4 linked regions of the Drosophila melanogaster genome follow. The protein of the gene in region 1 purifies or fractionates together with the protein of each later gene. This does not show direct contact. Each region holds a gene or a part of one and is shown in the gene's direction. Other genes may lie near its edges.

Region 1 (4,828 bases):
CATTTGGGGGCACTTGTTTTTACACCACAAATATAAGTATCAGCTGTTTTTGGACCTGATAATTCAGTTCTCATGTTAGCTGGTTACGAATGATCTATTTATTGTATAAAAAAATTGTAGGGGGTTTTTGGGTTTACCAATAAATAGATTTATGGGTGTACTGATAAGATAAATTACCAAAAGCTCTCCGTTGCACAAAATAAGTGGTAAGAAACTTTTTAGTTCAGTTTGATTGCGGCAATTGAAGGGAAAACATCTTAACAATTAACGACAGACTTAAATTCATTAAAACTTGTGCTTTAACCATAAAAAACCATGGGAATAATTTGCCAAATTCTTTTTCACAACAACACGCAAGGGGTTTTTTACGCGGGCCAAATGGTTGCTGGTCAAGTGACTCTGAGCACTGATAAGGCGATTCAAATCAAAGGTAAGTACTCAGTTGTGATTGCGATACTTCATATAATTCTCGCAACATTTTACATATTAAGCAATTCGACTTAAGCTAAAAGGTTATGCAGAGACCCATTGGACCGAAAGCAAGACTGATTCGAATAACAAGTCCACTTCAGAGTCGTACAATGGATTTGAGAAATACCTTTCCAGTAAAGTTTATCTTTTGGGTTCCGAAATTAGCCCTGGTAAAATATTGAGTGATAATTTGTTATTGAAATTGGTCAAAATTTCATTTTATGTATTCGCAAAGAAATGGCTTTGGAGCCGGGAACTAGGTCCTACAATTTTGCTTGTCCAATTCCAATCAATTGTCCCTCATCGTTCGAGGGGACTCATGGTCGTATACGTTATATGGTGGATGTCAATATCATTCAGCCGTGGAAGTACGACAGCATTTTCTCAAGAGCTTTCACCGTTATTCAAGTGATGGACATAAACACCTATAACTCTGTTTCACAGGTAAATATAACATGAAACGAAATTTTGGAGGTCTGCTATAACAATGTAATCGCTTTTAAGGTTCCCGTGCAGGCCAAGACTGAGAAAACCTTTGGGGTCTGGCCCTTCCGATCGGATCCTCTAACGCTGGAGCTGAATTTGCCGCAGACTGGCTTTGTGCCTGGTCAGACGGTACCCGCAAATGTTCTGATTGGTAACGAAAGCAAAATTCGGGTGCACGAAGTGAAGGTTGGACTATCAATGATGATCACCTACTACAGTGATCTAAGTTCAGGTTCCAAGTGCGAGCGCAAGTCCGTGGCCAAGTTAAAGGCAGATGGAGTTTTGAGGAACTCCCGGAAAATGTACGACTTCCAACTGATGATACCCTCTACTCCGCCTTCATGTTTCCATCTGTGCCGCATTATCAAGATCGGATACCAGATCGAGGTTGTGGCCAAGGTGAAGGGCATGCATATCAATGGAACTCTGATAATGCCGGTGACTATTTGTGGTGTTCCGATATCGCCGTCAGCGGTGCAATATACGCCGCAGAGCTCTGGGCCAGAGGCTCCAGAACAAAGAGCTTTGACTTTGATTGAGGGAGAGGGAGCTTTTGCTCCAGCTGCTCCCCCATATCCCTGGTCAGAAGGATCCACACTATGTAAGCTGTCCTTGTTTTAATATGTCCATATCAATTATGTAACCATACGATTTTTATAGCGCCACCGAACTACGCCGAGGCCATGCATTCCCATAGTGACTCTGAGAAACAGTCAGAGTCGGGAAATGCGCAAGAGAAGTCTTACAAGCCGTTGTATCCTGTCTTCGATTTGTCTACTTCAACTGTAGAAAAGAGCAAGGAAGCGGCTTTGGATAAAGAGGAAAAGAAATGAAGGCGGGCGAAAAAACTATTCTACATTTGAGAACCATTGGACATCCCATCCCACGCCTGCTTGTCAAGAAGTCCTTGGGATTTTTCCGGAGATATGAGGGCTATTTGCTGCTCGACTGCATTTGGCAAAATGTATAATTCAAAATTGTGACAGCGATAAGATAAAGTTTTTCTGGCCATCGCTACCAATATAGAACAACCGCAATGTTTGTTTTATTCTCAGTTGATTTCTGGCAGCCAAGTGGGCATGTGGGTGCTATCGTCGCGAAAAGCGGTTCCTTCCACTCTGTCTGGAGTTCTCGGAATTTAGGGAGTAAATAACTGAACATTGGCATTAAAATCAAATCAGTCGTGTTTGCAGCGGCATCAGAGTAGGATCGGCCCATAAATACACGATTGCGGTTACAATTACAATTATGACTGTTACCTGTGAAATTGATTTCGATAACAATCCCCATGGCACCTACTTTGGGGGCGAGGTACTCACTGGCAGAGTTACGTTGAAGCTGGACAAGATGAAGTTGGTAAAAGGTGAGGGGCAGTTGATTTGAGATACCTTTGGAATTTGACAATATGCCATGAGTCATTCTTATCTTATCGTCCAACTTAAAAGTGCGGTTGAATGTTTTTAAACGAAGATTTAGTCCGGTGACTCATATATTTATAGTGAGTAGAGAACCACACGTGCGAAATCTAATGTCTACATGAAGGTGTTTGGCGAACATACACAAATGCATCAATGATAATATTTGCGTTCGATAAGATTAAATTATTTTTAAATAATCAATGGGTTTCGCATTAATTAATATTAAATAGGGGTGGATACATATTTGACTTTTTCATATATACAACGATTGCTTTTGTAAGTTTTTATGGATATTTCATGTGAATGCATAACAGTAATTCTGTATGATTAAAAGATTTTAATTTGTCAAAACCATAATCATCGTTTAGATGACTTAAAAAACAATTAAAGAATAAATTCAATTCGTTACAGTACATTGAGCTAAAATACCTTTCTAAGAAATACCTTATCAACTTCTTCTCCGCAGCCATCACCTTGAATATAACCGGATACGCAGAGACGCGTTGGATTGAAAGGGTGACCACAAACAGAAGGAGGAGACGTCGCACATTCTGCGGCCGCGAGGATTACATAGCGTCCAAAACATTTTTGGTGGGATCCAATCTGAGCAGTACGTAAAGCTCCATTTAGGCAAGAAAGTCCATCTAATTGCTAATCATATCTGCAGGCCAAGTATCCATTGAAGCGGGAATTCACACTTACAACTTCGTGTGCCTGATTCCCACCGAATGTCCTTCGTCCTTCGAGGGATCACACGGCAGGGTGCGGTACATGGCAACCGTAACCCTCGTCAGGCCCTGGAAATTCGATCAGAGCTATACCCGATGCTTTACGGTGCTAAAAGTGATGGACTTGAACTTCGATAGTCCACTGCTAAGGGTACGAATCAAAATCAAACACGAATACATATCTGTTAGAACCTAAGCTAATTGAATATGTTATGTAGGTACCCGCCCACAGTGAAACCTCGAAGACCTACTGCTGCTGGCCTTGCCGATCAGATCCGTTGGCCCTCCAACTGACCGTTCCACAGACAGGATTTGTACCTGGCCAGAATGTTCCCCTTAGCGTGCTGGTCACAAACGATAGCCACATTCCGGTGGAGCAGCTCCTCATTAGTTTTGTGATGCTGGTGACATACCACAGTAAGCCACCTTCGATGCCCAATACCACGTCCGAGAGGTTGGTGGTAAACACCTTCAAGGGGGACGCTGTGCAAAGGAACTGCAAGAAGCTATTTAGCTATGAGATCAGAGTCCCGGCCACTCCGCCCACCTGCTTCAACCTGTGCGGCATCATCCAGATCGCCTACCAAGTGGAGGTGGAGGCCAGGGTGAAGGGTTGCCACAACAACGAGGTTGTCACCATTCCGCTGACCATTGGCAGTGTCCCTCTTGCACAACACGTACCAATCCAGCCTCGGGGTTTCGTCCCCCAGCTGAATGTTAATGAGCTGGCTGTTGAAGAAGTAGCCACTGCTCCAAACTCTTCAAGTCCATGGTCTGTCGACGCATCCATTCGTGAGTTTACTAGAATCCATAAACTAATTACAGTATCAATTTATGTTTTTTGTTGGTGTTTTTAGCTCCGCCCAACTATCAGGAGGCTGTTCACATGCGCAGCACGGCTGCAACGAGGTCAGACGACTTAGACGACCCGGAACCAGTACCGCCCAATACTCTCAGTTTGGATGGCGGTGCTTATAAGCCACTCTATCCGGTCTTCGACATACCCAGTCCCTCAGCTCCGCCGCCGACGGATTATACGCAGAATTATATGGCAGAGAGGGCCTTTGTCAATCCGGCCATGGATGTGGACAAAGACAAGGGAACGTGGCTATGAGAACGAAAATAAATACTATACTAGAAATGTAAGGGCGATAAAGCATTTGCACACAAGGCAAAAGTTCCACCTAACACTTTATAATAAACATTTTATCACAATTCCAAGACTGGTACAGGGTGGAGCGATTTTTGAAATTATTCGAAATTATATATATATTACCATATGTAGTCTAAGATTTTCAAACACGACGCTTTTCTTTCCTCTTGAAAACCCCTCGATGAATGCTGGCAATAACTTCCCCAGTGCCAAGGTCTCGACAACCAACTCTGATAACAGACCGAAAACCCCAAGTGAACGTCCGAGTAGTTCGCAAGGGAACTTATTATCGACTCTTATACAGTTTGGACTACGATTCCGTATCGTTCCCGGTGAAATCCGAATCCGACATCGGGTCCAAGTTATGGTTCTTATCGCTTATCTAACGACGCGGTCGCACCGCAAGCAGTCCAGAAGTTTTGTACTTAAATTAGTCGCAGTGAGTTGCCCCATAACATCGGTTTTAGCTTTTTCGCGCTCGGACATTTAATCTTGGGAAAAATGGTTGTTACGTGTGAGATCAGCTTCGATAATAATAAACATGGTACTTTCTACGCCGGTCAGCTGGTAAA
Region 2 (4,905 bases), on another chromosome or scaffold:
CTGTGATTACCCCCACACACATGCACAACAGGATCTGAGTAGTACCTTGAATTTACTCGCTGCGATATGCGTTGCACGTAAGCACACAACATATATGTTTTACAGCACTTTTATGCACTTTTTTTTATTCGTATATGCGTAAATAGAAAACGTGAACGACGTGACCAAGTGTGACCGTTGCTTATTTGGGTCGCAACTCCCGCGTGTGGTCAATTTCAAATTTTTAGGCTGTTGCTTCACCTCTCTGTTCGATGGCTTCCTCTTCTTCTGACCGCAATGGTATTCAAGTTTGGAACAACAACAATGTGCAAGTTCAAAGTCAGAAAATGACAAATAACCGAAAGGCACACAAAAAACAATCCTAAACATGTTTGCTTGCATGCCGAGACACGCACATACATCAATATTCATGTATAAACAAGCTTACAGTGTAGGAAATATAAAAAATTACAAAACTAGAACTGTGATTACCCACACACATGCACAACAAGATCTGCCTACTACCTTAAATTTACTCGCTGCGATATGTGTAGCACATGAGCACACAACATATATGTTTTATAGCACTTTTAGGCGCTTTTTATTCGTTTATGCGTAAATAGAAAACGTGAACGACGTGACCAAGTGTGACCGTTGCTTATTTTCGTCGCAAATCTCGCGTGTGGTCAATTTGAACCGTTGTCAGAAACTATAGGGTCTCGAAACATGTGCAAATAATTCATTTATATCATTCAACTTATGCTGCAAATAATTGCTATTATTATTATTTTAATTAATTATCCACACTGCTTATGTTCTTCGCTCAAACAGGAGGTAATTAAATCATTGAAGGGATTTCAAAAATCTATGTATGCATTCACTACTAACTAGCTTGGTCTTTTTTTTATTTTGCGCCGCTTTATAAATTTAAAAAAATATCATTTGGAATTACACACATCACTGTGTTAAATTAAAAAGAAGATTTTTAGTGATTGTTTTCTTTGAGATATTGAAGTCGCTATCTGCTCCTATATAAATATTATTTCGAAATTATCGATTTATAGTGCGCTATACTGACAAAAAATAGGCTGAAATTCGCATGAACAAGCATATTGTGGTAAGACAAAATGAAATCAGAACTTCCCAAGAACTACGTTGGAAAATTACAAATGCCCAAAAGTATTGCTCCACAAAATATCGTAACGAAATATCGCGAAATTTGCAACACTTTTGTGCACATTCGGTGGCAACGCCGCCTAAGAAAATACCTATTGCCCCAATCGATACCTATCGATGAGCGTGGGCAGCCCTGTTTGTGCATGTGCTGCCATTCGATTTGATAACCAGCACTCCGTGCACACGTTTTTCGGCTTTCTAGAAATAATTGGGCTGCGATTCAAACTGTGAAGTGATTTTTTCTATATTTTTTTTTTGTGTGCACAAAGGCTCTTGTAATTCGAGGATTTGGCCATCGCGAGTGCGGGTGATTAAGCAGGCAGCTCCGATTGCCAGAGTTTTGCGGATGCATGGCAACACTGCCGCACGCCGGCCATGTTATTGTGATTTGTAAAAGGTGGAACGTAGACACGTGTTTAATTCGTGCAGCACTTTAGCGTTGAGAAAACGACAGTAAATCGCCAGCAAATAAGCAAAAACAATACACAACTCGCGTGTGCAGTAGATAGCTTTGAAAGCACCCAAAGATAGTGAGCAAAATAAGTTACCCAAGCGGTTCACAAAGGTAAGAAATCGCAGCACGCGGAACATAACCTAGTACAAAAAAAGTGCGTGTGTGTGTTTGCCAAAACAGAGAGATGTGACGGAAAATGGTGTCATGTTCTGTTCTGTGTGGATTTGTTCCAATGTCCGTGTCTTGAGCTCTATTCGCACCTCTTTCCCGGTACCATAGCCAACGTTTTAACTACCTTTTTTTTGTCAACTTTTTGTTAAGTGTATGACTCTGCCTTGCCGCTGTTGTTGTTGTTCCGGCAAAGTGACAGTAAGTGGTTATGGAAAAAATTTGGAGTTCAATTCGGCGATTACACAATGACAGCACTCACACACACACACACCCACAATCGCACGCATACACATGCCGAGCATAAGTGCGTCTGTGTGTGTTACAGCTTTCACCGTTAATGTTCGGTTTTTTTACGCCTGAAAGAGAACAAAGGCGAAAAGGAGCTGCCACTCCCACAAAGAAAACATTGCGTCTATGCATACATACATATGTATACACATATAAAGTAGTATATCCCCCGATTATACAATCCCCGCCCATTTTTGGCCACCATATGATCGGAAACCACGTTGCCAAGATTATAACAATGTGGACTTTTTCGGCTAGCTGGCAATGTTGTTGCACCTGATTTGTTGTTGTTTTGGTGCTCTCTTCTGGCTTGCCTCTCTGTGTCGCTCATTCTCGCTTGTTCGGGGGAATTTCAAATTTTTAGGCTGTTGCTTCACCTCCCCGTTCGACGGCTTCCTCTTCTTTTGGCCGCACTGGTATTCGAGTTTGGAGCAACAACAATGTGCAAGTTCAAAGTCAGAAAATAACAAATAACCGAAAGGCACACAAAAAACATGCCTAAACATGTTTGTTTGCATGCCGAGACACGCAGACACATCAATATTCATGTATAAACAAGCTTACAGTGTAGGAAATACAAAAAAAAAATAACAAAAACTAGAAGACCATTGCGAAGTTGTTGTGCCCTTATCTTACATTTTGTCGTTTTAATTCAAGAGTTGATACGAATACGTGTAAAACTACACTTCTCCCTGCTCTTATGCATATCCATTTATTAAGAATTTTAGGCAAAATGTGGCAAGCTTTGTCAACAAGTTTTAATACTCTAAGCAAAGGGTATAAAACGTAATCTGAAAAATTCCCGTCACCCGGTTTCGACGATTAGGAAATGCCACAGCTGTCTGGCCAGTTGCCCTTCCATGGCCATTTTATAGCACCCCACTAGGCCCCTTATCCCCCACCCCCTGCATGCTCCCATCAACCGTTGATCTGTCGCTATATGTACATTTATACATATACATATGCATATACATATACATATGTACATACATACAATGTATGTTTGTGTTTCAGTTGCTTGTCGATTGAGCTTATCATCTGACCACTGTGTAACAGGAGGACCTTTGGGCCCTAACAAAGTGACGATATTGTGGATGGGGGGAAGCGGGAGTATAGTGGGTAAATCGGTTCTATAGTGAGTAACTTAAAAGTACTAAAGATCTCATGGCTTTAAACTACTGTTCGGCATGACTTGCACTTTTCGGGCCCCGGAAATTTTGACCAAATTCGAAGGAGCGTCTTACAATCCATTTGAATGGATTTTGATTAACGGTTTTCGGATTTCTTTGTTCTAATGAGCTCGCCACTCTCTTTTCTTCTCTCCGGCTTTCTGTCTCGTTTCCGCTTGGTGGGATGAGTGTGTGTGTGGGTGGAAAGGGGCGCTAAATAAAAACTTGCCACCACGCATCCTCTCTTTTTTCGCGGGTTGGTGGGGGTATGCCGATGCGGAAGAGCGGATGGAGTGAAGAGCGGAGAATCGGTGCCGAAATAAAAAAAATAATACAAATAAAAAGCCAGAGGAATTGGCAATTAGAAGGCGTGCAAAGTAGTTTCCCTTCATATATCGAGCAGTCGATATCTCGAATCTCTCGAACAATTTCGCCGGCATATCGAAACCCAACAAAAAAAGAAAGAAAATAAACAAAAGCATAGAAGAAACTCCAAAAAATAAGCCGAAGCGAATTGATGCCATAAAACGACATAAAATACAAACGAAACCGGAAGAAGCAACGAATTCAGTTTTATCCTAGTGGTAATACAAAAACACACATTTATTTTGTGAATAGGTGATGAATTTCTGGCAAAGCTGTTGTTTTCGTAACTTTTAGTTTTGTTTTGTAATGATTTCGTAACATTTGCCATTGCCATACGTAAACGTAACGGTTTCTTCTTGCGCCTCTCTTCCGTTCTTCGCCGACGCTCTTTTGCGTTCTTGCGCACGCGCTCTTTGCATGCGATCTATCGCTCCATCTCTCTCGCTCTCTCCCGTTGCGTTTTTCCCTTCCGCGTGGCATTCAAAAATCGCTTTGCACCTTTTTCGTCGTTCTCTCTCGTTGTCTCTCTCTCTCTCGGCATTTGTGTTGTTGTCTATATTTACGTATTTATTTGTTGCTATTAATACGCAAAAGTTCAGAAAGGAAAAAACCAAAATCAAACACACTGGCAAACACACACACACACACGCACACTTATGCAGACGAGCACATGCAGGCGGGTCTCGTGACTTGCAAAACCAATTCGAAACCTTTAAATAGGTTTTTTCAAATATAACAACATGCATATGTCGTTATTTAAAAAACAACGTTCATGTGGATGGTGTTGACAAATTAGCCCTTTAATCTCACACTTTTCTTCAAAATTGATTTCATATTTGAAATTCTCGCTTAAATTTAAACGCAAATTCAAAGCTCTTTACTTTGTTTTCAAAGTTATTCTACACAAAATTGCATATTGTGTACCGTTTCTTATCTTGAGCCATGACAAGCTTTTTAAAGTAATTATATACGACGCTACTTGATTTGTAAATTGTTGCCCTGATAAGAGGTGTTCACACATTATTTCCAATTGTAAATTAAACAACAAACCATAACTTTTCCAAATATTGCACAAACAAAAGCTACTTCATTTTTATTTCAGTATTAGTGTGATCAAAATAATCCTATTTGTGTGACAGTACACAAGTATATTTTCAAATCGCACAGACTAATATAACTTCTTCTCCCTTTCAGATCTTTCAATATTCAGCGAAAATGGTATCCGGTCGTCCTCTACTCTACCTCTCACTGCCCGGTGTAGCATTTATACTCGGCGTCTTTTGGTTTCGGCGTAGATATAAA
Region 3 (4,803 bases), on another chromosome or scaffold:
AGTCAAAATAGTCACATAGGAGATTTAACAATAATAATGGGATCTTCTTACAGCTGCCCGGTTGCTTATCTTCACTTTGCTCGTCGCCCTGCATGTAGTACTCTTTGCGCTGATTTAACGTCGGCAGTTCCGTAACCTGCTTGCTGAGGCACTTCTTCAACTCTTCCACCTTACGGTCCCGCATCAACGTTTCGATCTGCTTTCGAGACTTGCTCAGACTCTGGCGATCCTCACTAAAAATGCGCTTCTGCTGCTCCTGAGTGATGTTATCGTGGTGCTTTATTAGGAACAGGAATACCCCGCCTGGTGTACGTCTCCGTATGCCGTTCTGTTTCGAGGTATCGTGTTAGTATATTCGGGGGAACATCCTTTACTACTTACTTTGATCATCATGCCGCCATCGGCTTCAATGCGCTGAGTTTCCTTGTATAGCTCTAGGCACACATCTATGCCAAGAACCTCCACGACTCGAACTGGTAAAACTGGCATTATTTACTAAGTAGGGCATTATTTATTTCACATACTCACCAAGTAATTCGTCCTTTTCCTCGTACAGTTTGCTGGCCATTTCGGTAGCCACATCCGAAGGATCTCTCTCACCCACTTCGTTTAAGTCCAGAATGTGTCTGGGCTCGCAGAAATCGGAAGATCCGCTGGCCGAAGATGTCCCACGACGTGACCGGTGACCCGTTCTACTCTTGACCAAACCGCGCTGTTGATTCCCGGTGATGGGCCGACTAGAAGGTCTTCCCCTCTTGTGAGCTGGATGGGAGCATTCGCCGCCGTCCTCCGAAGAGTTTGAGAGTCGTCGCTTTAGAGTGTTCTCGCCGTTCAGCCGGTATCGCAATGAGAAGTCGTAGTTTTCAACATTTCGATCCCGACCGCTTCGGGTAACGTCGCAGCCACGCATATTCTCGCTGAGCGCATCCTCTTGCAGGGCAGAAGCCCACACGTTGTACTTCTTGAAACGGGCTCGATTCGGTTGCATTTCAGCATCCGTGGGCGGAACGCGCCGCATTACCGTGCGCCGAATGCGCTTTTTCCGCTTCTTGTGGCCGTCGGGTCCGGTGGATTCCGTACGAAGCTTCTTGATGCACCCGTCCTCGGAGGATTCGGCAGTCGAGGAGTCGCTGTTGCTTTGTGACTCGTCCTCTAACGCAGTCTGGATCTGATGGCAGGTGGTAAGGGGACTGGCCACCTTCTCCGCACCGTCAGGTCGCTGCAACGGCGTGTAAACGCCATCATCGTCGCTCTCCGATAGCTGAAAGGCCGGCAGATATGGTCATTAGATGCTCGGTAGTCTGGGTGCTTATGATTACCTCGCCGTCCTCCAGGTCAACGTCATTTGCGTGCAGTTCCATCATTTTTTTTATGGCGAGTCGAGAGAAAATCTTCGCCCAAAGTGCAGCTGTTTGTGCAACACTGAGCGGCAGAGTGACCATACTTACTGAGGATTACTTGGTGCATAGTTAAATTATTATGTTTATATTATTGGTCTTTAATAGTGCAAAGATGTAAATTAGATTAGCTCGTGTTATATTTACAATAATAAAAAGATCAGCGTAACTAGGTGTTACTAGGCAAATTAAGTTTTGCGTAATTTAATACTTAGGTGGGGGTGAACAACATAGCTTATATTAATTAATATATTTTTTTTATTGAATTATATGTAAATAAGACTAAATGTATTTAATTTAATTAAATTAATAAACATAGTTTTAGGTGAGGCATTTCTGCTATACCCACAAACGGTCACACACCACACGTGCGTTTACTTTGCGAACCAAACAGAACGTGGTTGAAAATAATCGTAGTTTTTATACTGTTATAACGGCTCACCATGGTGCGGCCCAACAACAACCAGCTGCCGGAGAACCTTCCGCAGTTGCAGAACCTCATCAAGCGGGATCCGGAGTCGTATAGCGATGAGTTCCACATCCAGTACCAACACTTTCTTAGCTTGCTGGAAGTTTTTGCGCTGAATCCCAGCGAAGAAAACAAATCCCTGGATGACATCGTCATGTTTGTCGCCCAGGTGGCTCAGTGCTATCCGGCCGTCTGCGAGGAGTTCCCAAAGCGTCTTTCCGATTTGCTGAAGAACTATGCCACCGTTCTGGACCCGGCTATGCGTAACTGCTTTGTGAAAGCTCTAATCCTGCTGAGAAACAAGAACCTAGTGCCCGCGCTGGACATACTGGAACTGTTCTTTCAGTTGCTGCGGTGTCCGGACAAGAATCTGCGCACCTTTCTGCAAACGCACATTGTGACGGACATCAAGAATATGAATGCCAAGCACAAGGACATGAAGCTCAATTCGGTAAGACGCAGTCGTCAGCTACCACTGTTGGACTCAATCAATATTCATTTATGTCTTTGCAGAGCCTGCAGGCATTCATGTACTCCATGCTGAAGGATGCCAATCCGAAGGCAGCCAAGATGTCCGCTGATATCATGATCGAGCTGTACAAGAAAAACATATGGAATGATTCTAAGACGGTGAATGTCATAGCCACTGTGGGGTGCTTCTCTAAGGTAACAAAAGTACTGGTCACCTCGCTCAAGTTCTTCCTCGGCCACGACGAAGAGGATGAAGAGGAGGACACTGACAGCGAGAACGAGGTGGACCTTAAGGGTGCTCTGATGGCCAATCGAGTCAATAAGAAAACCAAGAAGCGGACCAAGCAACTGGCGCAGATCAAAAAGCAAGCGGTGAAGGCCCAGAAAAAGAAAAAGAACGCTCCAGCCTTTAACTTCTCAGGCATTCACCTGGTGCACAATCCGCAGGGAATGGCCGAAGGGCTCTTTAAGCAGCTGCAGGCCACCAACGAGCGATTTGAGGTGAAGCTAATGCATTTGGACGTTATTTCCCGGCTGATCGGCATCCACGACCTCTTCCTTTTCGGTTTCTATCCGTACATAACACGCTTTCTGCAACCCCACCAACGCCAGGTGACACGTGTGCTCCAGTTTGCCGCCCAAGCGTCCCACGAACTGGTTCCCGGAGACATCATCGAGCCTATCCTAAAGACGATCGCCAACAACTTCATTACTGAACGCAACTCCAGCGATGTGATGGCCATAGGTCTGAATGCGACGCGTGAGATTTGCATGCGATGTCCCCTGGCCATGGGCGAGGATTTGCTGCAGGACCTGGCAATGTACAAAACGTACAAGGAGAAGTCGGTGATGATGGCGGCACGGTCGCTAATCACACTCTACAGGGAACAGCTGCCTGCCCTGTTGCACAAAAAGGACCGAGGCAGGCAGACAGAGGCCCAGGCCGAACGAAAGGTTCGAGCCTACGGAGAGCGCGAAGTCCACGACACTGTCTTGGGTGCAGAGGCTCTGCTCAAGGACTCTAAGACTATTGACATAGAGAGCGAAGACGATACGGACTCAAACGATGGTGAATGGGTTAACGTGGCGCACAGTGATGGTGAGGGTGGTGGAGCGGACGATGATGAAGAAGACGAAGATGAGGATGAGGACGATGATGACGAAGACGAAGACGAAGAGAACAGTAATGACGAGGAGAATGAGGATGAAGATAATTCCGACGAAGGCGTGGAAAGTGGCGAAGAGTCCGCAAAGGCCAAGAAGGAAAAGAAAGATATGAGGATCCTTAACCAAAAGGAGGCTGCACAGGAACTGGCTCTTACTCGCATATTCACGGACGAAGATTTCAAGCGCATCAACGCGGCTAATCTTAAGAAGACCGTAACCAGTGCCCGCAAGAGACCACTTGAACAGGATCGCGCCGAGTTCGTCAAGCTGAACAGCATCGAGATGATCTACAAGAAGCGCAAGCACGACAAGGAGTCGCGGCTGGAGACTGTGCAGGCGGGCCGGCAGGATCGCGAGCGCTTTGGCTGGAAGGATGGGCGCGTGAACGAGCACTGTTCCAAGACGAACCGCGAGAAGCGCAAAACCAAGAACTTTGGCATGCTGCGACACAAGGCTCGCTCCAAGGTTAAGAAGAGCTTCAAGGACAAGCAGCAGGCGCTGAGAAAACATCTGCTGCATCAGAAAAAGATGAAGTAGTACCTTCTTGCGTTTCAAACCTCGTAGTGCTTTAAATGAATACCAATATAAGATATATAATTCTAACCAATTGATTGTATAAAGGGTAGTTGGTAGAGTTATCTGATTTATTTCAATTCATATAGACTTTGTACGGTTGCCTATTCATTAAACTATTTTAAAAAATTATTCTTGGGGCTGGGAGTCGTTTATCTGCGACGCTTTTCGGACTTTTTAACGCGCTTCGGTCCCTTAACGAAGCACCAGTCAACCTGAATGGTCTGTCCCATTATTTCGGCACCGTTCAGGGCCTCTTTGGCGGCGAGCGCCTGCTTGTGGGTCTCGTACTCGACGAGAGCGTATCCCTTTGAGAACCCAGTACGCCGGTCGAGGTTCAGGTGAATGTTCTTGATTTCTCCGTAATCGCAGAACTTTTCCTGAATCTCGTCCTCCTGCGCCTCCTCATGGATAGAGGTGACAAACAGTATCCAGCCCTCGACGGACCTTTGTGGACCAGGTTCCAGCTCATCGTCGTCCTCGTTGCGCACACGCTCGTAGCTGTGGATCGCCTCTCGGGTGTTACTGTCGCTTCCAAATCCGCGTCCCTTGCGGTGCTTCGCCTTTTCCTTCAGGCGCACAATGCCCTCTGTTTTGAGCGTAGGGTGCACGGCGCGGCGTGGGAGAAAATAGAAAGCATAAGACCGGTGGATTACAAAGCCTGCCGCAGCTACTTACGGTCACCGTCCTCGTCCACCTCGAACTCCTCCGCATTGTCAATGTCCA
Region 4 (7,633 bases), on another chromosome or scaffold:
TTGGCCACAATTGCTCCTTGGTCGTCACGCTTCCAGCGCGTGACGATTGGATCTGCGGCAGGATTTGGACTGAGCGGCTTGCGCGAAATGCTCTGCTGCAAATGACGAAAATCCGTTGAGTTTAGCACAGAGTCCGTGAAACTCATGGTGTCGGTAAGCTTGTTGGAGCCGCACAAAGTGCGCTCCGCATGGGAGTTGCTGCTCTGGTTCTCCTTGTTTTCCCCATCGTCATAATTGTTTCCACGACCATGCTCCCACAGGTGGTTGACAACCTCTACAGTGGATGTATCCGAATTGAGATCTATGTCCCTTAGCGCCATGTCGATCGCGGAGAGACTTAGGATCTCGGAGCTCGACGGCGGACGCTTGGTCTCTTTGGCTGCCAGACCATTCCTGCTCTTTAGCGCAGTTTCAATCCGATCCTGTTGCATCTTACGCATAAGATTGCGTCCGAGATTCGAGCCAGTTATGGCATCCGTTTTAGTGTATGTTTTATTGTCTGGCTGTGGGGTCTTCTCGCCAACCGAATCCAGTGTCACGTTACTTTCTGATTCGGGCTGCCATTGCTCACAATGTTCCATATATTTTCCGAACGCGTCTGGAAGTAGTTGCCCAGCGAAAAGTCTGGATCTCCGGCCAAGACAGAACTGTAAATAAAAGTTGAAAGTTGATCAAATTATATTTGGAAGACTATTTTATGTTGCTTACTTGGACACCGAGGTTTCTATCTCGGATGTTGGTGCGGCAATCTTCTTCAACGCCTGTGTGCTCAACGTGGCCGTCGGCATGGCCGTGAACTCCTGCGCCCAGGAGATTTCACCGAGCACCAATTTGGACTGCATTAGCTCGGCGGGAGCAAAGCTCTCATCCTGGCCTTCCGCCGCCAAAGAGGCAGATCCAAAGGAAAATCCCCCACCTCCGTTAAGACTCAGTTCACTCATGTCCGCAGTGCGCGGTAAGCTGCGCGAGCAGTTGAATGAATCTGAGAGGCTGCTGGAGCTGCCACGTGATAAGTGATAGCTGGCCTCCGCCTGGCTGGCATCCTGCAGCTTCCTTTCCAACAGGCGAGCCTTCTCAACAAAGGATGACTTTAGAATTTCGGCCATCGACAGGGATGGCTTCTCCCTGCGGCGCTGTTTTCCCGCCTGGCAGAGTGTGGACCTGCCGGTGATCTCCGCAGGCTCAAAAGAGATGTTTGTGACCTTGGTGGCGGGCATGACCAAAGCAAAGGAGCTGCTGCTGTTCAGATCGATGGTGTCGTCTGTTACCAGCTCCGAGATGTTTGTGGACGAGCGCATCTGGAGGGCAGTGCTCTTTGCTTGGCTGGAACGCGACGGTCGGGGATTTTCCAGTGTCTCCAGCGCACGCAGTCGTTCTTCTCGGAGCCGCTCGTGGACGGCAGGAGAGTCCCGACCAGTGCCGCTCCTCCTTCCACTTTTACTGAAGCTGGACAAGTCGCCGAAGACTCTAGGAAATGCGGATTACTTGCTGCTTCGGCTTATTTCCGGCGTGCTCCGCCTGCTTACCTTTAGATTGTCCACGTTCAGAATGCCCAGCGAGTTCTGGTCCATGTAACTACCATTTCGCTGGCTTCCACTGCTTCTGTCCATTCCGCTCTGTCCTTTAACAGTTACAGTTTGCAGTGCGAACGCGAAAACAAAAAAAAGGCACGTCGCTTCGATCGAAAATGGACGTCGATAAATGATAAAAGATCCAGGGCTGACACTAGTGTCGAAGCGGCCTTTGCTTACTTGTCCGGTCGATCAAATCTCAAAAATGTAAATAATTTAATAATAAATTATTCTATTGCATAACACTGTTGCTAGCGCACATATCAAAACTCAACAATAAACAAAAAAACATAAATACATATTTTAAAGAAAAATGTTAACACAAGTCACCAATTAACTGTGGGAGATAAAATCACGTATCACATACCCCACTCGTTAAACCGAAATGATAACCGCCAGCCAATTCAAGAGTAGAATGTAAAATAAGCTTCCGATAAACTGTAAACTTCAACATGGGCACAACGTGCAACGCCAACGCGCCTCCAGCCCTGGTCTCTTTTTCGCGAATTCCTCCCCGGTATCCCACTTTTCAATTCTCAATTCCGCGTAACGTCGGCTGTAATTTGTACCGGATTGCATTGGATTATCCGCCTGGGCGCGAACAGTAACTCCCCAAAAATGGAGGCAGCTATTCTGGATATAATCAACGGGATCCTGGCCATAGACACGGAACGAATCCGTGAGGTGAGCAAAGCGGGTCAAATTGACCATCCGGCAATGAGAAAGGAGGTTATCCTGGGCGCCAATGGATGTCTTTCATGTATGCTTTCCTTTCTGACTGCTCCATGTCGGTCTGACCGCGTGGCTGGATCGCATTCCCTATATACATGCGTACATATCTATCTATATATGTACGCCACATGAACACAGTGCCATATAGTTCGGCATGGGCACATTCCTCTATACATGAAATGTATAGAAATGTATACATGATCAGAACAAACTTCCGAAAACTGTTGAAATTTTTTAGAAATAATTATTTATATATTTATAATTAATATTAATTAATTAATATTATATTTTTATTTGCATTAAATTCGTGGATATACCATCATTCTTTTCCAAGAATCTTTGGTCTCTCATGTTCTTGAAATGCTTCCTAATTGAAAAATTACTTATGTTGATAGCATGATAGCATAGGGCCATAAATAATAAAGTTCCATTTCTTTCGCTTCCTTAGTCCACAGCCAAGATGCTAAAGGCCTACGAGAATCCCGATTCTCTGCTGGTTCTCACCCAGATCGTGATGTCGGACAGGCCGGTCCAAGAGCGGCAGGTCGCCGCCGTGCTCCTCAAGAGGCGGGTCAAAAAGTTACGCCACTGGCAGTTGGTTCCCGCCGAGCACCAGGCAGCGTGAGTTAACTGGTTACCTTTTAATGACTATGATACAGTAACGGATGCATGTTTTTTAGAATCAAATCGAACATGCTACAGGTCCTCATCGCGGTGAAGGAAAAGACCGTGAAGGGCACGGTGGCCTTTATAATTGGATCGCTGGTGCGCCACGAGGAGGACAAGCAAAACTCCTGGAGGGAGGAAATACTGAAGTTTATTTACGAACGTTGCAGCAGCCCCGATCCAATAGAAAGCGAGCGGGGCAGCTCAATCTTTTCCTCGCTCATGGACGCTGCTCCCGATCAGTTTTCGAACCACACGGATACTATCTTCCCGTTGCTTGCCGGCATTCTAGTTACCGCCGAGGCGAATGGGAACATGGCCACACCCACCGTGCATAACATGTTGGCGGGTACGTGCGTCCTGTTGCCTTTCATAAGTGGACATAGTGATGCTGAGCAGATTATGGTTAAGGCTGTGCCGCTCATACTCAAGGCCCTGGCCGCCTTTGCCGAAAAGGGGAACAGTAATGAGTTCATGGGTGCCTTTGATATCATCGACAGCATGGCCGAGTATGTGCCCCACTTGCTGACCGGCAATGTGAAGCTGCTTCTGGAGTTTTGTCTGATGATTGCGAGAAACAAGCAGTTCGACGCTTCGATTCGGGTTCAGGTGCTTACCTTTGTGGGCAGCCTAGTTCGCCTCAAGAAGAAAATTATTATGAAGCAGAAACTACTACAGCCCACACTATCTGTTCTTTTCGAAGTGATTTGCCAGGACGACCTCAAGGAAGGTGGTAACTGCTCCTTTATATTTCTGTTGCCATGCTTGCTAACCCTATTCCTATTCTAGACGATGATTACTTTTCCTCGGAGAGCCTAAATAGTCCATCCAATGCAGCTGCGCAGACACTCGACCTGATGGCCCTTCACATGGTGCCGGACAAGTTTATTCCGCCACTACTGGATTTGCTGGAGCCTGCGTTGCAGAGCCCGGAACCTGTGCTTCGCCGTTCCTCTTTTATTTGCATGGGCGTTATTGCCGAGGGCTGTTCCGAGGCCATTGGGAAAAAGTATCTCGAGGTCATGCTAAATATCATCAAAGCTGGAGTGTTGGACTCTGTTATGTTCGTGCGGACCGCCGCATTCTTCGCCCTCGGTCAGTTTTCCGAGTTTCTTCAGCCGACGATCTGCAAGTTTGCTCCCCAAATTCTACCCGTGTTGTTCGACTATCTAAACCAGCTGGTACTGGAACTCAAGGTAGGTAATCATTGTGGCCATCTTCGACCAACTTGGAATTTGTATATTTTACATTCTCGTTTATTTGTTTGTGCTGCTTCTAAAGGCTGGCCATAACAGCAATGGGCCAAATCTCGATTCCGTACCTGCCAAAGATTCCATAATGTACTTAGACAAGATACAGATCAAGCGAAGATCGGTCCTCGCCAAATATAGGGTGCTTTTTCGATGTCTTACTGTTTACTATGTACTTGATTGCACATCAAACACCTAAAATTTGTTGAATAGTTTGCCAGATTGATTACATTAAGAGCTCTGTTGTAGATATATCATTTCGCACTGGTTTATTTAACTTTTTGGCGTATGTTAAATGTTCATTGACTCGTTTCTTAATTGTTATTTAAATGAGTAATAAGTTCGTCGGTTACATAAAGAAGGTGTCTTCAAATGGGGTTCTTTTCACGTTTTTTGAGGACTGCATTCCGTTTTGCACCAACAAAGCCAACAAATTGTTTGGCAGAAACATACTAAATGTATTTTCTTTCAGGTTGGTGAGCCGGATTCGAAACATATGGATCGTATGTTTTATGCCCTGGAGACCTTTTGCGAGAATCTGGATGAGGATATTGTTCCTTATTTACCCACACTTATGGATCGGTAAGACTAGACTATACTACGGAAATATGAGTCCACTCCCTGATAAACTTATTGTGCAGTCTGTTTGGGGTTATGGAACCGCAGAACTCAAATCAAATGCGTGAAATGGCTTTGTCGGCCATAGCAGCGGTGTCAGCAGCAGCTAAGGAAAACCTGATGCCATATTTCCCCAGGATCATGACCGTACTACAGGGCTGTCTGGTGAAGGATTGCCCAAAAGAAATGTACAGTCAGCGCATCCAAGCTATCGACACTCTGGCCGCGCTGTGTCGCGAATTGGGCAAGGATAATATTATTCCTCTTGCCGACGAAACAATGAACTTCTGCCTGATGATGCTGGAAGATGGTCCGGATGATCCCGAGTTCCGCAGGAGTATATACAACCTGATGTCCTCTCTGTCATCAGTTGTCAACGAGAGCATGGCCAGTGTGTTCCCCAAGTTCATTGATCGCATAATGGAGTCTGTGATTTCTTCGGAGGACATGGTGCCAAATGTGTCGGACAATGCGGAGGATGATTTGGCCCTAGTAGATGCCCCCGACATAGAGATTGATTTAGAGCACACAGACGACGAAGATGACCAAGACGCTTACCTGGGGGAGAATGATTATATCGTCGAAAAGGAGGAGGCCATTCTGTCACTCAAGGAGTTTGCTACCCATACCGGCGCCGCCTTCGCGCCCTATTTGCAATCTGCATTCGAGAACGTCTACAAGATGATTGATCATCCGCAAGGCGACGTTCGTATGGCATGTATTGACTCCATTTGCTCGTTCATTACGGCTCTCCACAAGTTGGATGATGCCGCCGGCCTGAAGCGCGCCTGCGAGATTGCCATTCCAAAGTTTGCACATATAATGCGCACCGACGACCAGGTTGCGGTCGTACTCCGCATGCTTGACGTCCTCTACGATGTCTTCAAGTACGTGCCGGCGATAAACAGCCAGGAGCACGCCGAACTTATATTCGGTTGCATCAGGGACATCTTCACAAATAAAATGGCCTGTCAGTTTAACGAGGAGAGCGGCGGCGGAGATGATGAGTGTTCGGAGGAAAGCGAGAACGACGAGATGCTGTTCGAGAACGCTGCCAATCTGTTCCCCATGTTTGGCTTAACCCTTCAGCCGGAGCTGTTCTCGCTTTATTTTGGACGCCTTTACCATTTCTATATTCAAAGGCTGGTAGGTTTTGCACGAAATACCGAACATGATGTGGCAAAGGAGAGAGGTCGATCTTCTCTTGGCAATAATTCATACAACCATCGATATTCCGAACGGCTTACTGAAATTCAATTATTTCGTTTCAGGCGAAGGTAAAGGAGCGCGATTTACCAGAACAGCGGGCATACATCTATGGCGCACTTGCTGACTGCTGCAAGGCGTTAAAAGGTTGCTGTGCTACTTATTTCGATGCCCTACGTCCCATTTTTATCGCCGGTTCCAGGGATTCTGATGCCAAAGCGCGACAGAACTCCTATTTTGCACTAGGCGAAATTGTCTTCCATTCCGAGGAAAAATCATTCGAGTGGGTTTCCCGGAAATGAACTTTTCTGCAGAATCTAGTTTTGATGTATATGTTTTTTGTTTTTTTTTTGCATCCATAGGTCTTATCCGACAATTTTGCAAGCCCTTTCCGAAGCAATTGTCAGGGAATCCGTTCCTGCCGCCATGGACAACATTTGCGGAGCAGTTGCTCGTCTCATAGTTACCAACCCAGATTCAGTGCCGCTTGGCCAGGTGCTGCCCGTGTGGCTCAACCATTTGCCACTGAAGGATGACACCGTGGAGAACGATGTGATTCAGAAGGCGTTCCGTGTGCTATACTTGAAGGCCCGCCCCAGCATTGAGGCACATCTTGAGCAAATCCTGGCCATCACCATAGAGGCGAGTTACAAGAAACAGATGCCTGACGTCGAGACAACCGAGAGCGCGGTGGCCCTCATCAAAGAGATTCGCGCCAACTACCCGGAACTGTTCAGCAAAGTATCGAACATGAATCCAGAAGTGTTCAATTATGTGCAAGCCCTGTAAGCCCACATATCCGTGTGAAAACCACCAAACAGCTCAGAACACCCAACGTCCTCCGCCCGCAGATTCATTTATTGGAAGTGATGCAAGCTTTTTATACGAATACTTTCGAAATAGTCTTAAATTTCAGTTGTGCTTCTGTGGAGTTAAATCATTCAAGATGAGCGATCTTTAAAAGGGCAAGATGAAGGTTTCTACGCGCCAAAAAACGGAGGAAAATGTTTTCTAACTTATAACCACATCCAGTGAGACATTAATATGCATTGAAATAATATAGGGATTACTTGTTTCATTGAAGGCTATGTTATTATTTAAAATTGGTTTTTCTTCAACCATTAGGCAGTTGATCTTAACTCTTATAGTTTCAGTCTAGTTTCTACCAGTGTGCATTTCGTCGGATGACAACCTCACGGACTATGTCGGCATGATTGGCGTGCAGCTTGAGATTCGAGTCGACGTCCGTCCAGCGCACATTGGAGGCATCGTCACCGGCCATTAGCTCCAATTGTCCCACCTGGCTCCCGTCTTCATCGTGGAAGTTCAGCGCAGTGGTTTCCATCCAAGCGTTGTCCGTGTTTCGAAAATCGTCTACGTAGCCTTGGTATACCTGAACGCCTCCCGCTTGAAAAAATCGCTCAACCATGTTGGCTTTGTCCGTGAAATTCAATGCCTCCTCGGTGAACTCCCGCTTAAGGGTGACACTGACATTCTCGCCGGGATCGACCATTCCACCGGGAATGGCCCACAACTTGTTGTCGGACCGCTGTATGGCAACCATCTGTATGATATTCCTGCAGGAAAGAG

Evidence for each region.
Region 2: the proteins of CG18745 (region 1) and spoon purify together in Drosophila melanogaster (affinity purification with mass spectrometry, with the first as the bait; one large-scale study listed by BioGRID). This does not show direct contact.
Region 3: the proteins of CG18745 (region 1) and Mys45A purify together in Drosophila melanogaster (affinity purification with mass spectrometry, with the first as the bait; one large-scale study listed by BioGRID). This does not show direct contact.
Region 4: the proteins of CG18745 (region 1) and Arts purify together in Drosophila melanogaster (affinity purification with mass spectrometry, with the first as the bait; one large-scale study listed by BioGRID). This does not show direct contact.

Annotation. Positions count from the first base shown.
Region 1 is NT_033777.3:7,783,331-7,788,158, reverse strand, and holds CG18745 (uncharacterized protein), read left to right. Parts: upstream 1-2,039; 5' UTR 2,040-2,205; coding exon 2,206-2,320; intron 2,321-2,841; coding exon 2,842-2,985; intron 2,986-3,042; coding exon 3,043-3,254; intron 3,255-3,321; coding exon 3,322-3,895; intron 3,896-3,960; coding exon 3,961-4,217; 3' UTR 4,218-4,316; downstream 4,317-4,828. Other genes in the region: CG18748 (uncharacterized protein), read left to right, coding at 316-430, 492-641, 707-915, 976-1,558, 1,618-1,790; CG18747 (uncharacterized protein), read left to right, coding at 4,758-4,828.
Region 2 is NC_004354.4:5,417,267-5,422,171, reverse strand, and holds the start of spoon (spoonbill), read left to right. Parts: upstream 1-1,835; 5' UTR 1,836-1,933; coding exon 1,934-1,978; intron 1,979-3,075; exon of another isoform or gene 3,076-3,855; intron 3,856-4,797; coding exon 4,798-4,905.
Region 3 is NT_033778.4:9,110,909-9,115,711, reverse strand, and holds Mys45A (mystery 45A), read left to right. Parts: upstream 1-1,760; 5' UTR 1,761-1,840; coding exon 1,841-2,317; intron 2,318-2,379; coding exon 2,380-4,041; 3' UTR 4,042-4,207; downstream 4,208-4,803. Other genes in the region: Phax (phosphorylated adaptor for RNA export), read right to left, coding at 52-328, 382-473, 529-1,261, 1,320-1,364; tsu (tsunagi), read right to left, coding at 4,230-4,666, 4,756-4,803. UniProt on the Drosophila melanogaster protein: Required for 60S pre-ribosomal subunits export to the cytoplasm.
Region 4 is NT_037436.4:16,601,023-16,608,655, forward strand, and holds Arts (artemis), read left to right. Parts: upstream 1-1,828; 5' UTR 1,829-2,189; coding exon 2,190-2,255; intron 2,256-2,751; coding exon 2,752-2,924; intron 2,925-2,983; coding exon 2,984-3,702; intron 3,703-3,758; coding exon 3,759-4,165; intron 4,166-4,691; coding exon 4,692-4,801; intron 4,802-4,860; coding exon 4,861-5,983; intron 5,984-6,108; coding exon 6,109-6,326; intron 6,327-6,405; coding exon 6,406-6,832; 3' UTR 6,833-7,124; downstream 7,125-7,633. Other genes in the region: CG4098 (uncharacterized protein), read right to left, coding at 7,206-7,620.